3 linked regions of the Lepisosteus oculatus genome follow. The protein of the gene in region 3 interacts with the protein of the main gene of each other region in a pairwise test. Links are inferred from orthologs where the notes say so. Each region holds a gene or a part of one and is shown on either strand. Other genes may lie near its edges. The genes, in order: cyb561, dolk and eda.

The links.
Region 1: the proteins of eda (region 3) and cyb561 interact in binary tests that used the Homo sapiens proteins (3 or more experiments, as listed by UniProt). The two-hybrid records come from large-scale screens. The link is inferred for Lepisosteus oculatus from reciprocal best matches to the Homo sapiens genes EDA and CYB561.
Region 2: the proteins of eda (region 3) and dolk interact in binary tests that used the Homo sapiens proteins (3 or more experiments, as listed by UniProt). The two-hybrid records come from large-scale screens. The link is inferred for Lepisosteus oculatus from reciprocal best matches to the Homo sapiens genes EDA and DOLK.

The regions. Positions count from the first base shown.
Region 1 is NC_090723.1:4,082,584-4,086,336, forward strand, and holds the start of cyb561 (transmembrane ascorbate-dependent reductase CYB561), read left to right. Parts: upstream 1-1,398; coding exon 1,399-1,606; intron 1,607-2,072; exon of another isoform or gene 2,073-3,016; intron 3,017-3,753. UniProt on the Homo sapiens protein: Transmembrane reductase that uses ascorbate as an electron donor in the cytoplasm and transfers electrons across membranes to reduce monodehydro-L-ascorbate radical in the lumen of secretory vesicles.
Region 2 is NC_090719.1:7,423,312-7,427,064, reverse strand, and holds the start of dolk (dolichol kinase), read left to right. Parts: upstream 1-1,195; 5' UTR 1,196-1,303; intron 1,304-1,337; exon of another isoform or gene 1,338-1,697; intron 1,698-2,196; 5' UTR 2,197-2,324; coding exon 2,325-3,753. Other genes in the region: nucleoporin NUP188, read right to left, coding at 78-132, 1,013-1,038. UniProt on the Homo sapiens protein: Catalyzes CTP-mediated phosphorylation of dolichol, the terminal step in de novo dolichyl monophosphate (Dol-P) biosynthesis. Dol-P is a lipid carrier essential for the synthesis of N-linked and O-linked oligosaccharides and for GPI anchors.
Region 3 is NC_090703.1:44,538,358-44,542,110, forward strand, and holds the start of eda (ectodysplasin-A), read left to right. Parts: upstream 1-1,449; 5' UTR 1,450-1,604; coding exon 1,605-1,916; intron 1,917-3,753. UniProt on the Homo sapiens protein: Cytokine which is involved in epithelial-mesenchymal signaling during morphogenesis of ectodermal organs. Functions as a ligand activating the DEATH-domain containing receptors EDAR and EDA2R. May also play a role in cell adhesion.

The sequences.
Region 1 (3,753 bases), on a different chromosome or scaffold from region 3:
AAAGCTGCCCTGTCGGTCCTCAGCACTGACAGGCAGGGCTGTGGCTGGATTAGTGAAGCTGCTAAAATGTTCCATTTTCATTTTCCATCAGTTTCCAAGGTTTCGGTTCAATCAAAATGAGGCTTCTGTTAAACAGGGGTATAGGAACGTAGACCACCTGCTATAGGATTTTAGGACTTTGCCCTGGGAACACTTCCCACTCACCCCTTACAAGGATATCTTTGTTCCTAACCCATGTTGGAAGGAAAACGGGGCTTTAATTAATCTGATTTTTTTCAATCTTTGATTGACCTGATTTAATTGGCAGGTGGTCTGGACAGAGGGCTCCCTGTTGGGCTGTGTGGGTCTGTGCTGTGTCATGCAGTGGTTCACACCCTGGACACGCCTGGATCATACTGTACATGAGCTTCAGTAATTCCTGCATGGCCGGACACATGATGTTCTCCTCAAAACTACTTCTAAGATGTTGGGAGTTGCTAGTCATGTTACTGGATGAGTCCCGGTTTTATGTGATGGAGGACTGAACAGAACTGTAGCACAGAACAGTACCATCCAAAAGATTTCAATTCTTGATTGCTGGTGCAGTCCAGGGTCCTTCTTCAGTCTTGTGCAATCAACACAGCATTCTTGATGCCGCTACCGAAATGTGTAAATCTGAATCACTAATAAAGAGAACAAAGCAATATGTGAATATATTGATATTTCTTAATATTAGGATGTAATTGGTTTAAATAAGCAAATAAAAGATAAAATTTTACATTGATACCTGAGATTACATTAATGAGACAATGCAGTAGTTAATGCACTCTTAAATAGGCTGTGCCTTTGTACTCTGTGGCTGGAACGAGAGAATAAACTTATTGGTTCTTTTGTCTCTGGCGTCTAAAACTCTCACTGCACCGTTTTAAAGGTTTAAGTCGCAAATACAGATTGGTCTTGGGGAAAGGTGATTAGAAGTGATCTAATTACTCTTTCAGTTCTGCCACAGAGCCAAGGGATCTGCAGCTACAATTTCCCTTATCAGCTCTTCGGGTCTAGACTGCTACCACAACCAGTTCACTTTCCATAACCGGCTACTTTGCATGTGCCTGGACGAGGTTTCACATGACAAGTTTTCATGTAAAAGAGCCTGTGCGTGTTCTTGATCGTTCCGGCAGTGGCTTCTTCAACTGATAACATCAATGGCTGCTGTTTGCCTTCGGGTATGAGCTACACTGTAAATGAATGAATCATCTGTTCCAATCGCTCTCTCACCTGCTGCGTGTCTGATTAACTGAGATCTCTTTCTCTGTCCACCTCCTTGTGTTCCTTCTTCTCCTGCTGCCTCTTTTCCCATCGCTCTCCCCTCCACTGCTCATCCTGCCTTTCCCAGCCCTCGCGACCCGGCGCTCCCAGAGCATGGCGGACAGTCCGGTGGAGCAGTCCTGCCCCTCTCAGCTGCCCTGGCTGGTGGGGGGCTCCCAGGTGTTCGGCTTGGCGTGTGTGGTCCTCACGGGGGTGTGGATGGGTCACTACCAGGGGGGCTACGCCTGGGACGGCACCGCCAGGGAGTTCAACATCCACCCGCTGTGCATGGTCATCGGACTGGTGTTCCTGTACGGGGACGGTCAGTGCAAGACATTTCCCACTGCCTGGGTTCCATTTCCAAAGCTTTAAGTACAGAATCCCATTTGTTTCTGACAGCAACTATCAGAACTTTCAGTATCCAACAAGCGAAGTATGGAAATGACAGAAGAGACACCACTTACATAGCTTTGAATCACTGGCTGTAGTGGACAGCACAGTGACAGAGAGATTAATTTTGCTGCCCCAGGAATCCTGGTTTCAGTTCTAGCCTTATCGATCCTTCTGTATGGAGTCTGCATGTTCTAACGGGGGTGGGGGGGGTCATCCTGTTTATTACCAGGCACTCTCCTTCTTCTAACTTCCCAAAGACACACAGATCAGGTCTGATCAGGCCGACACCCGGGTCACCCTGCGCTGACCAAGCACGGTACGATACAGTCTCCCTGTCCTGCACGCCCCATGAAAGACGAAGACTGGATATTTCTGGAAGTCGAGTTAAAATATTGGCAGTTAATTACACTTACCCTTTGTTCCCCATAGCATTATTCTTCCTGTGAAATGATCAGCGTGATCTGAACGTACCGCACTCTGAACGAACTGAGACGAGTATTCAGTTTGAGCTTGGATCAGCACTGATATTTCTTTAGGGTCAGCATGAGGAGGCCATGGCAATGGGAATCGGTGTCCTCATGCCTTTAGGATGAGATTAAAGTAAACACACGAAGAACGAAAGAGCAGGTGTGGCTGTAGAGTGTAAATGATTCACTAGCACACTGCTGCCTCGGAGTCTTACTGGCTATGGGATGGCATGGGGGTTCGTTTCTCCCAGACAAGTTCCTCTCGCATCTTAAAAACATCCAGGACAGGTCTGACTGGTCAACCACAAGGAAGTGAGCAGGACACCTGCCCACTGACGAGAGAGGTGCCTCTGTGGCTGATGCCAGGAATCAACTAGGGGTTTCATGGGAAGATAAATGATTTTCATTCCCAAATAGCACAAAGGTTTTACAAAGGCAGGAGGCCGATTGTCTCCTGTGCTCTCAGACTTGTGACAAGAGCTGATCTACTGGCTAAATATCCAGATCCTCGTTCAGAGGGAGGACAGACTGGAATTCAGGCCGGACCACAGGGTCTGGGCTGAATAACTCTCATCCAACTGAGAAACTGACTGATCTCGTGTTTAGAAATGGGTCTGAATTTTCCTGTGCGGACCATCTAATAACACCTCCAAACTGTCCATTTTTCTCTCCTTTCATGGCTCGACCCAGGTCTCCAGGAAGGCCTTCCGGAAAAGCAAACGAACCATAAAAACAGCAATTAGAATCCGCCGTAGCTGAAATGGAACAGGGTGACATTCTGCCCAAGTGCTGAGCCTTGGCTGTTCTCACATGGAGGAGAGAGTCTCCAGGCAGTGCTCATCACTGCCTTGCTCCTTGAAAATGTCATTTCTCTAAGGAGAAAATGAAAATAATTTAATAATACAGGACTCTGAAAAATTACAAATTCACCTGCTGCTTTATATGCCATCCTGAGCTTCTTGTGAATTAAAATCTATCAACGATGAACAAAACAAGATGATGACATTTTGCCGTTTTCACCGAGCTCTTTCTTCCCCCTTCAGCCTGTGGTTTTTAGATAAACTAAATGCTTAATGTTATTTAAATCACATCTGTTTCTTCTAATTTTGCCTGTTTTTCTAACATAAAGGACAAAGAAAAAACACAGCCGGGCCTTTTTACTAAGTAAATTGAATCAGCAGTTGGCCCCAGGCTCTCAAACCCTCACTGTGAATTCAGTTAGGAGGTTAACTTTTAAAGGCCACGGGATCATTAGTAAGTTAGCCGTTTCATTTTCTCACTCAGAACACTTCACAGCAATGGCCTCAGGGGGCCAGGAAAGATTAGACGCACAGGGTGCAGTCTGGCCCAGTCGTTATCTCCCGAGGCCTCATCGCCTGCTGCTGTACCTCACTGGCCAGCCAGCAAGGCTGAAGCCTGACAGCTCCGGTCTCCAAGGGAGACAAACCACATTAAAGATGTTGACTCCAAGTCTATTTCAAGCCCAGAAAGGTGACTAAGAGGAGAGGGTATTGAGAACTGAAACCAGAGTTCTTTTTTCAAGCTGAAACTGTGTATCTTGCGTTTAAAAACAAGAGAAACCTGAAGCTGTTACTCGGTGCAACTGGCA
Region 2 (3,753 bases), on a different chromosome or scaffold from region 3:
AAATTGCACTGCTGATAATCATTTTTTAATTAAAGGGTTGCATATTCATGCAAACAGAATACGGAAAAAAACGTTACCGGTTCCCTCAAAGCCGATCTTCCCAACAAGATCGTCCAAAGTTCTCTGCTGGTCCTACAAAAATAAACGCATTCATCCCTATAAAAGTGACGAAAATAATCATAAATGACATTCCACGCACTTATACTTAGAGATAAACGTGAACATTTAAAAGCTTACACATCTGCGGCATATTAACACTGTTACGTACATTTCACATCTCACTGGTACGTCTGGACGCTACACACGATTTTTAGGGTCAGAAATAAGGAAAAAAAATACTTTACTCCAAAGTTGAAAGTGTCAAAATCAGATTCAAGTTACTGTATGTTCAAACCTCCGCGTTCAACTGTTTTGACATTTCTCGGCAGTTCTGTGTTAATGGAAGTTACAACATTTTGACAGTATACGTTTGTTTTCTTTTAAATTGTCTTTATTAAAGGGATGCAGCGTAACGGATCGTCCTTCGCATGAATTTTAGGAACCAATAGCCTACATTCATTCAAAGAACTAGGCACGTTTTCAATCTAGTTTTTAAGCAATTACTTCTGTTATAACATTGGCAATAAACCTAGATAATAGGACCACCGTACTATATAGTCTCAACAAGTTTTTTCTATACTGTTAATTGTTCTTGATCCGAACATTATTGGAGTATCTCGGAACATGGTACTTGTTATATACATATTTCCTGCCAATGAGAATAAGAAGCAATGTTAACTGCCTTCTAAAAAATTTCACTAACATGCGGCAGAAAACAGCACACATTTTTCCCTCCACATTGTAATAGCCATCCCATTTATAAAAGTAAGAACTAAAAGGAAAACGTCCAAACGTCTAAATAACTATTCATTCATTTCATTTTATCCTTCCTCATTACATTTCCCATTCAGACATGATCAGTTTTGTACAATGCCATACATTAAAAGAACACTTTTGCTTTTCTTTCAAGTACCTGACACACATCTCCGAGTCCGCCATATTCCCCCCTACACGTGACACCTCCTCCGGTCGAACACCCTGGTCATGTGACGGGTGCCCCGGGTTGGAAAGAATAAAAAAAACACTTCCGAAGCCGGCAACTGAGATGCGATCACTGTGTAGGAAGCAGAAAATAAAATCCGCCCTATTCATGTGATCAAGCTGTCAACATGGCCGCCTCCTAGATGTTAAAGACTAAAAAAAAAATTATACGATCGAATGAAAGTACGCACAAAACGTGTTATGATCGCGGTGGACATGTGAAGTAAGTTAATTAACACATTTTATGATATCTGGGTAGTGTTATCAGTTGGCTTTTGCAAATTCATGGGGATGTTGCTTGCATGTCAGATATCTTGTACCTTGCACCCAGTTCCGTTATGTTGTAATTTCATACAATCGATTGGCTACCAACCAGTCTTGTTAAACCACAAAAGGCCTCAGTTAAAGCGGACTCGAATGCATTTACCGTGGAGCTCTTAAATATCCATGCGTTTCTCGTGTTTTCAATTTTGAAGCTTTTAACTATGGATAGGAAATTACGCACCTGCAGCCAAAAAACGCTGTCTGAAATACATTGTTTTATACAATAGCCGTTTAACAATGTCAGTACTAGTCTACTTCAGTGGAGTGGTTTTATGAAAAAGCACAGCGTTAAGGTAAGCTGACTGTCAAATTGTTACATGTTTCACAAGCTTTGTTAGGAACAGAGTGGTGTTTGAAACAAAGAGCATTAATGTTTTAAAGAGAGGAGGCCATCCTGCTGATCTAAGTCGCTTGGGTGATACCGATACAGTACTAAGCTAAGTGATCCGAGGATTTCGTCGGGCTGCGTCTTGAAAGACGACATTACACGACCATAAAAGAACGTTTTTATTCTCTTCTAACCGGATACTCCGCGGATGTGTGATGACGAAGAGTTTTATTAAATGTTTTATTACGTGGGGAGTAAAAGCACGTTTCCATGATTTGCTTACTTTTATTACGACAGAATTGTAGTATTTTGCCCTGGCCGTTGGCATTTCTAATTGGTGACGTCTCTCGTGTCCGTGAGGGTACATCGGCTTGCAAATACGCTATAGAAAAAGTGACAGAATTATAGAGTTAAATCATTCCACCGACCGAGACTAACACTGTAATATATATATATATCGATAGGTGGCGTAAGAATGAAGAATGGAAAAATGTGAAGCATTACATCAAGGAAGTGGCCTGCCCTGGATGCAAGAAAATACCGATAAATAGCAGTTTTGAGAAGCACCCCTGAAGCTGCAGGATCTGCAACCATGCTGACGAATCCTGTGTTCGTGGAGTCAGTTATTGTTTTCACTATTGTTTTGTGTGTCCATTTTGTGGTTTGGAATCAGCTGTCATGGTGTTCCATTGCCTTGGCCATTCAAGCCTTCTATGTCCAGTACAAATGGGACCGCCTCCTGAAATCTGGCGGGGCTGTGTTTCAGTTCAGACCCTCTGCGAACAGTGGCATCCTGCCCGCTTGCATGATCATGCCTCTACTTGGCCTGGCCCTGAAAGAGCGCTGCCAAGCCTCCGGAAATGTGTACTTCGAGCGCTTTTCAATGGTGGTCACCGCGACAGGGATGATGCTGGCTCTGTTTCTCTCCCTGATTGCCCTCGGCATCACCAGGCCTGTGCCGACCAACACCTGTGTCATTTCTGGCATTGCTGGTAGCGCCGTGATCTACACGATCAAGCAAACCCTAACGGTCTCTGAAGTCATTGAAGTGCTGGAGGTGCTTCTGATCTTCGTCTACCTCAGCCTGATCATTCTGTACCTCCTGCCTCGCTGCTTCACTCCTGGTGAGGGCCTCATCATCATCGGTGGTATTAGCTTCATCATCAACCAGCTCATTAAGCGCTCCCTGAATGCCCCTGAATCCAAAGGAGATCCCATCAACTACTTCCTGCTAGTGATCGTGGTTGGATGTCTCTTGCTGGGGATCTTCTTCACCCTGCTCTTCTGCTTCATGGAGTCGGAGACCTGGGTGTCCTCCCTGTTTTTCCACATGATGACGGCAGTTCTTGGCTTGGGGATTATCATGCCATGGCTTGCCCTCCTGATCCGAAGGCACCCCTTAATGTGGCTGATCGACTTCCTCCTCCTGAGTCAGAACAGACTCTGCCTGCTGGCCTACTGGGTCCTGCTGGCAGTGCTGGCGTCTCTGGTGGTGTTCCACCAGAACTACAAGAGGTCTTTGGGGTCCAAGAAGCACCAGGCCTCTACAGTCGTGAGGAAGTACTTCCATTTCATTGTGGTGGCCACGTACGTGCCCGGGCTGATTTACGACCGTCAGCTTCTGCACGTCGCCTCCGTCACCTGCTTGGCCGCCTTCCTCCTCCTGGAGTACGTCCGCTACTTTCGGATCAGACCCGTCGGGCACCTCCTCCGGCAGCTGCTGTCTCTGTTCCTGGATGAGCGAGACTCCGGGCCCCTCATCCTCACCCACATCTACCTTCTCCTCGGGATGTCCCTTCCCATATGGCTGTACCCTGGACCCTGCATGCCTAAAGGAAGCCTCCCAGGAGTGGGGGGACTGGTGCCCTATGCTGGTGTGCTGGCCGTCGGTGTTGGGGACACTATGGCATCTGTGTTCGGCAGCACCATGGGAGAGGTCCGGTGGCCCGGGACCAAGAAGACCATGGAAGGGACAGCCACTTCGATCTTCGCCCAGATTATTGCTATTGCTCTTTTCCTCA
Region 3 (3,753 bases):
TAAAAGATGACAAGGAAAATGCATGTTTTCCAAGCATTTGCGTGAAGTCTCACACTAGTAGATGTGTCATCTCCAGATGTTTAGTCTATTTTGAGATTTTTTTATACCATCAGACAGCCTCTGCGCTCCTTAATTAAAATGCATGTGTCATATGTTCTTGCTTTTATTTTATAAAGTACTTGCAAAGTCTTTTGGTGATAATTTTGGTGCATAATTACTAACTTGTACAAGTTTCAAACACAGCAAGTATTAAAGCTAAAGAAAAAGACCCTACTTAATCTTTGAGCTCAGTGAAGGGAAAACACACAAAAAGTTTCCTGTTGTGTAAAAATAAATTTTAATTATAACAGTATAAATCATTTCAGTCATGTATAGATCTGGATTTAGATGTGAAGAAGCATTCCAATAACGTTAATTAAAGTTTTGAGATGGAAAGTAAGTCAACTTTGATCATTTAATTTTGATCAGCAAATCAAATAAATGTGATCTGAAGAACATATAAGTTACTAAATGTGAACATTTAAAAAAAGCAGCTATGTTTTGTAACAGGGAGCCATGTACAGTAGGAGTAACTAGGAATATGTTACATGAGTAGGTGATATTCTTTAATAAACAGCTGTATAATATGGATCTCCGTGTAAAGGATTTTCATGCTTTCTCCTACAGAGTACTCAGTAATAAACAGTAGTCAACTAAAGTTTTTTAAGCTTTCATAAAAGTTGCCAACGTTATGATGTAGGGTATATTAATGCATAATTTAAAGGTAAGACAGTAAGAGATTAATCAAAATTTTAATTCCCTAGCTTTCTCAAAATAATAGCCACATTTGAACTACAGCGTAAATTTAGAAGAATTATTACACGCCCCCCTCACTTTGCTTTATTTATTGTAATTGTAATATGAGATATATTCTATAAACGGATTACACTTGATGGAGAACTTTCAAAATACAACTGCGATTTGAAATTTTCCAGAGCACGCTTACTGTTTTGTCAGGTTTATAAAATGTATCTTTTTTTATATATATAAAATTACGTTTGTATATCAAATCGCCACGTGCATTTCATCACCGCCCAATAACTCTTTGCAGCAAACGTGCTTGATTCACAATAGCAAGTGCTTCCTGCTTTGCCTGAACCTTTCTTTGCTTTTCCCGAGGTCAGCACTTCAGCAGTTCTCTGCTTTAGACACCATGTCAGTTAACAAATTGCGTGAGTAACAATATGAACTTCATGGGCAAAGTTCTTCGAGTAATCCATAATGAATGACGTGACCTTTTGTATACCCTTTCATAAGCAGCAACTACTCCACATGAAAAGAAAGCATATGAAAGAAGGAAGAGAGGAGGGAAAATGGGTTGTGTTCTGCCTCCGTTACGTATCCAGTCCCCAATCAGAAACGCTAAAGGCGGATCCTAAAACCGGATTGTTACTAGTGATTGACGCGGTTTGCTAGTTTGGTTACTTATTCTGATCAAGGAAAAAGATCAGAGGAGTGGTTTTCATGTGGGCTTCTGCTTCAAAGTTACTGATCAGTAGTGGATCAGACCCCAGAAAGCAGCTGATTATGCTGAAATAGCACTACCTGTTTCTATTTACAAAAAAATGGCATCTAAAGGTTTAACAGAAAATGTTGCAAACTTAGAGGAGAAAGCACTGAAACCTGAACTTCCTACAACCTGCATGTGCAGGAAACAATGTAACAACTGTAAGATTTTCCTGGGATTCTTCGTATTGTCCCTCTCGTTGCATTTGATCACACTTTTCTGCTATCTGGATCTCAGATCTGAAGTGAAACGCGAGCTTTCACAGAAAAACAGAGATGAAATTGTGACGCCGGGTGCAACTGACTTAAATGAACCGCTTTCCCCTGAATACCATCTTTTGGACATCAGCTACCCTACAATGGACCAAGAGGTAATCGCAATAACACTATTTGTTTATAAACCGGCATCTGTACGATGAAAGCGATAAAGCTGTATCTAAAATAAGAGCGTCTAGAAATCGTAAGAAGAACATTGTGGTCCACCGCAGTTTATTTTTCTTCAACTAGAGCGTCAGTCAAGCATTTTATTTAAGGATCAGTTTGATCGTTTGTAACGACTGTGATTGGTTGCGTAAAACTATATCCAGTCACATTTGGTTTTTTTTAAAAAAAAGGGGATGCCGGTTTTGTTAATATATCACATTTATGAAATGCACAGATTATTTAATAGAAATTAATCGCTTTGAAGCACAAATGTTTTCTGTGAAGAGTAGGTTTATAACAGCTTCCGTTCTGTTAAACCGCGATCTCTCTTCATCCTGCTAGGTAAAAGGTAAGTTAAAATTCTTTGCCGAAGGGCTAAGGTTTCGAAATCGACAATGATATGGCGCTCCAACAATTAGATTTAAAAGTAACAAAGATAAGACAAGTACTGTATTTTAGTTTTTTTTTACTTTTTTTTGATTCGAGAAATTAAAACGTCTTTCTGCGTCCACCATACCATTCTGTGGTTAAAGTTACTCCTCAACTTGTGCCAATGTGAAATGATGTATTGAGAACAGTAGGATTTGTGAATTTAGAATACAATACCGGTACACATGTTCCTGAAATGCAAATTTATACATTTGGAACTGGAACAGCTGCTGTTATACGGTGGAGGGGGGAAAAAGAGAAAACAGAAGTTTGTAGACTTAACTGGCCTTTTACACATGAGCTTTTTATGACTGAACGTTTTTTACATAGTTTTGAGGGGTTTGTTCCTAGAACCCTCATATACTGCTGCATGCACTGATGAAGTTTACCCTACCTGGTTCAGATATTACTGAAATAGTGGCTAACTTTAGGTTACTTCGGTATCCCCTTCGCCATGTGAAGAGCTATAGTTGAACTAATGAAATAAAAAAAAATATGTATCCAAGCTCAACATGAAAGTTTCAGAAACAGTATGTAATGTTCTACAACAGTGCTGCACTACAGAGATGATCCCATTGGTATACGTACCTTCCCGCTCTGGAAATGTTTAGCTCTCAAATGAGACAAGTCAGATAACAGGTACTGTTTGCTTTGACGGAGAGTTACTGTGTCAGTGATGTATTAGCTGTTGAAGATTTATAGTTGGTGCCAGATTTCATGCAAAAGAGCAAGTCTATGTATCCCATGCCTTTAAAAGATTTGCCCATTTACAGTAGAGCACTTTTAACTACAGCACATGAATAGCATAGCTTACTTGTTGACTTTGTATTAAAGGCTAATGTTAAGTTACTGGGGACTACATTTATGAATGTGTCATATGCAATACCTTTGTCACGCCCTTGAATATATTGTACCCTGAAGCTACAGTGGTTAACATTTAGAGGAGATTAACCTGTGCTTAAATTGTGAAAAATTAGAGAAGTAAGTAAGCAGTGAGTAGTGAGAAGTATTTGATTTGGAACCTCTAGAAAAACTAAATGAAGCACTACTAAAATAGAAAATATGGCAAGTAGACGAGCACATAAACTGGCTTAAGCAAATCCTTTTTTTAGACATTTGATTTACTGCTAACATGTGTATCTGATTTTCTTTAGTGTAACTTTCTATGTGAAAAAATTGGGGTCATAAAACAGGTGTTTTGTGAGTGCCTGTCCACAGGAAGATTTCAGATTTACAATATGTGCTAATTGCAATACAATTAATCTTGCATTTCTGAGTGAACAATCAATCTTTCAGAAATACAAGACATGCAAGTACATCATTTGTGCATTTTACTTGCATATTTTCCTGTGATAT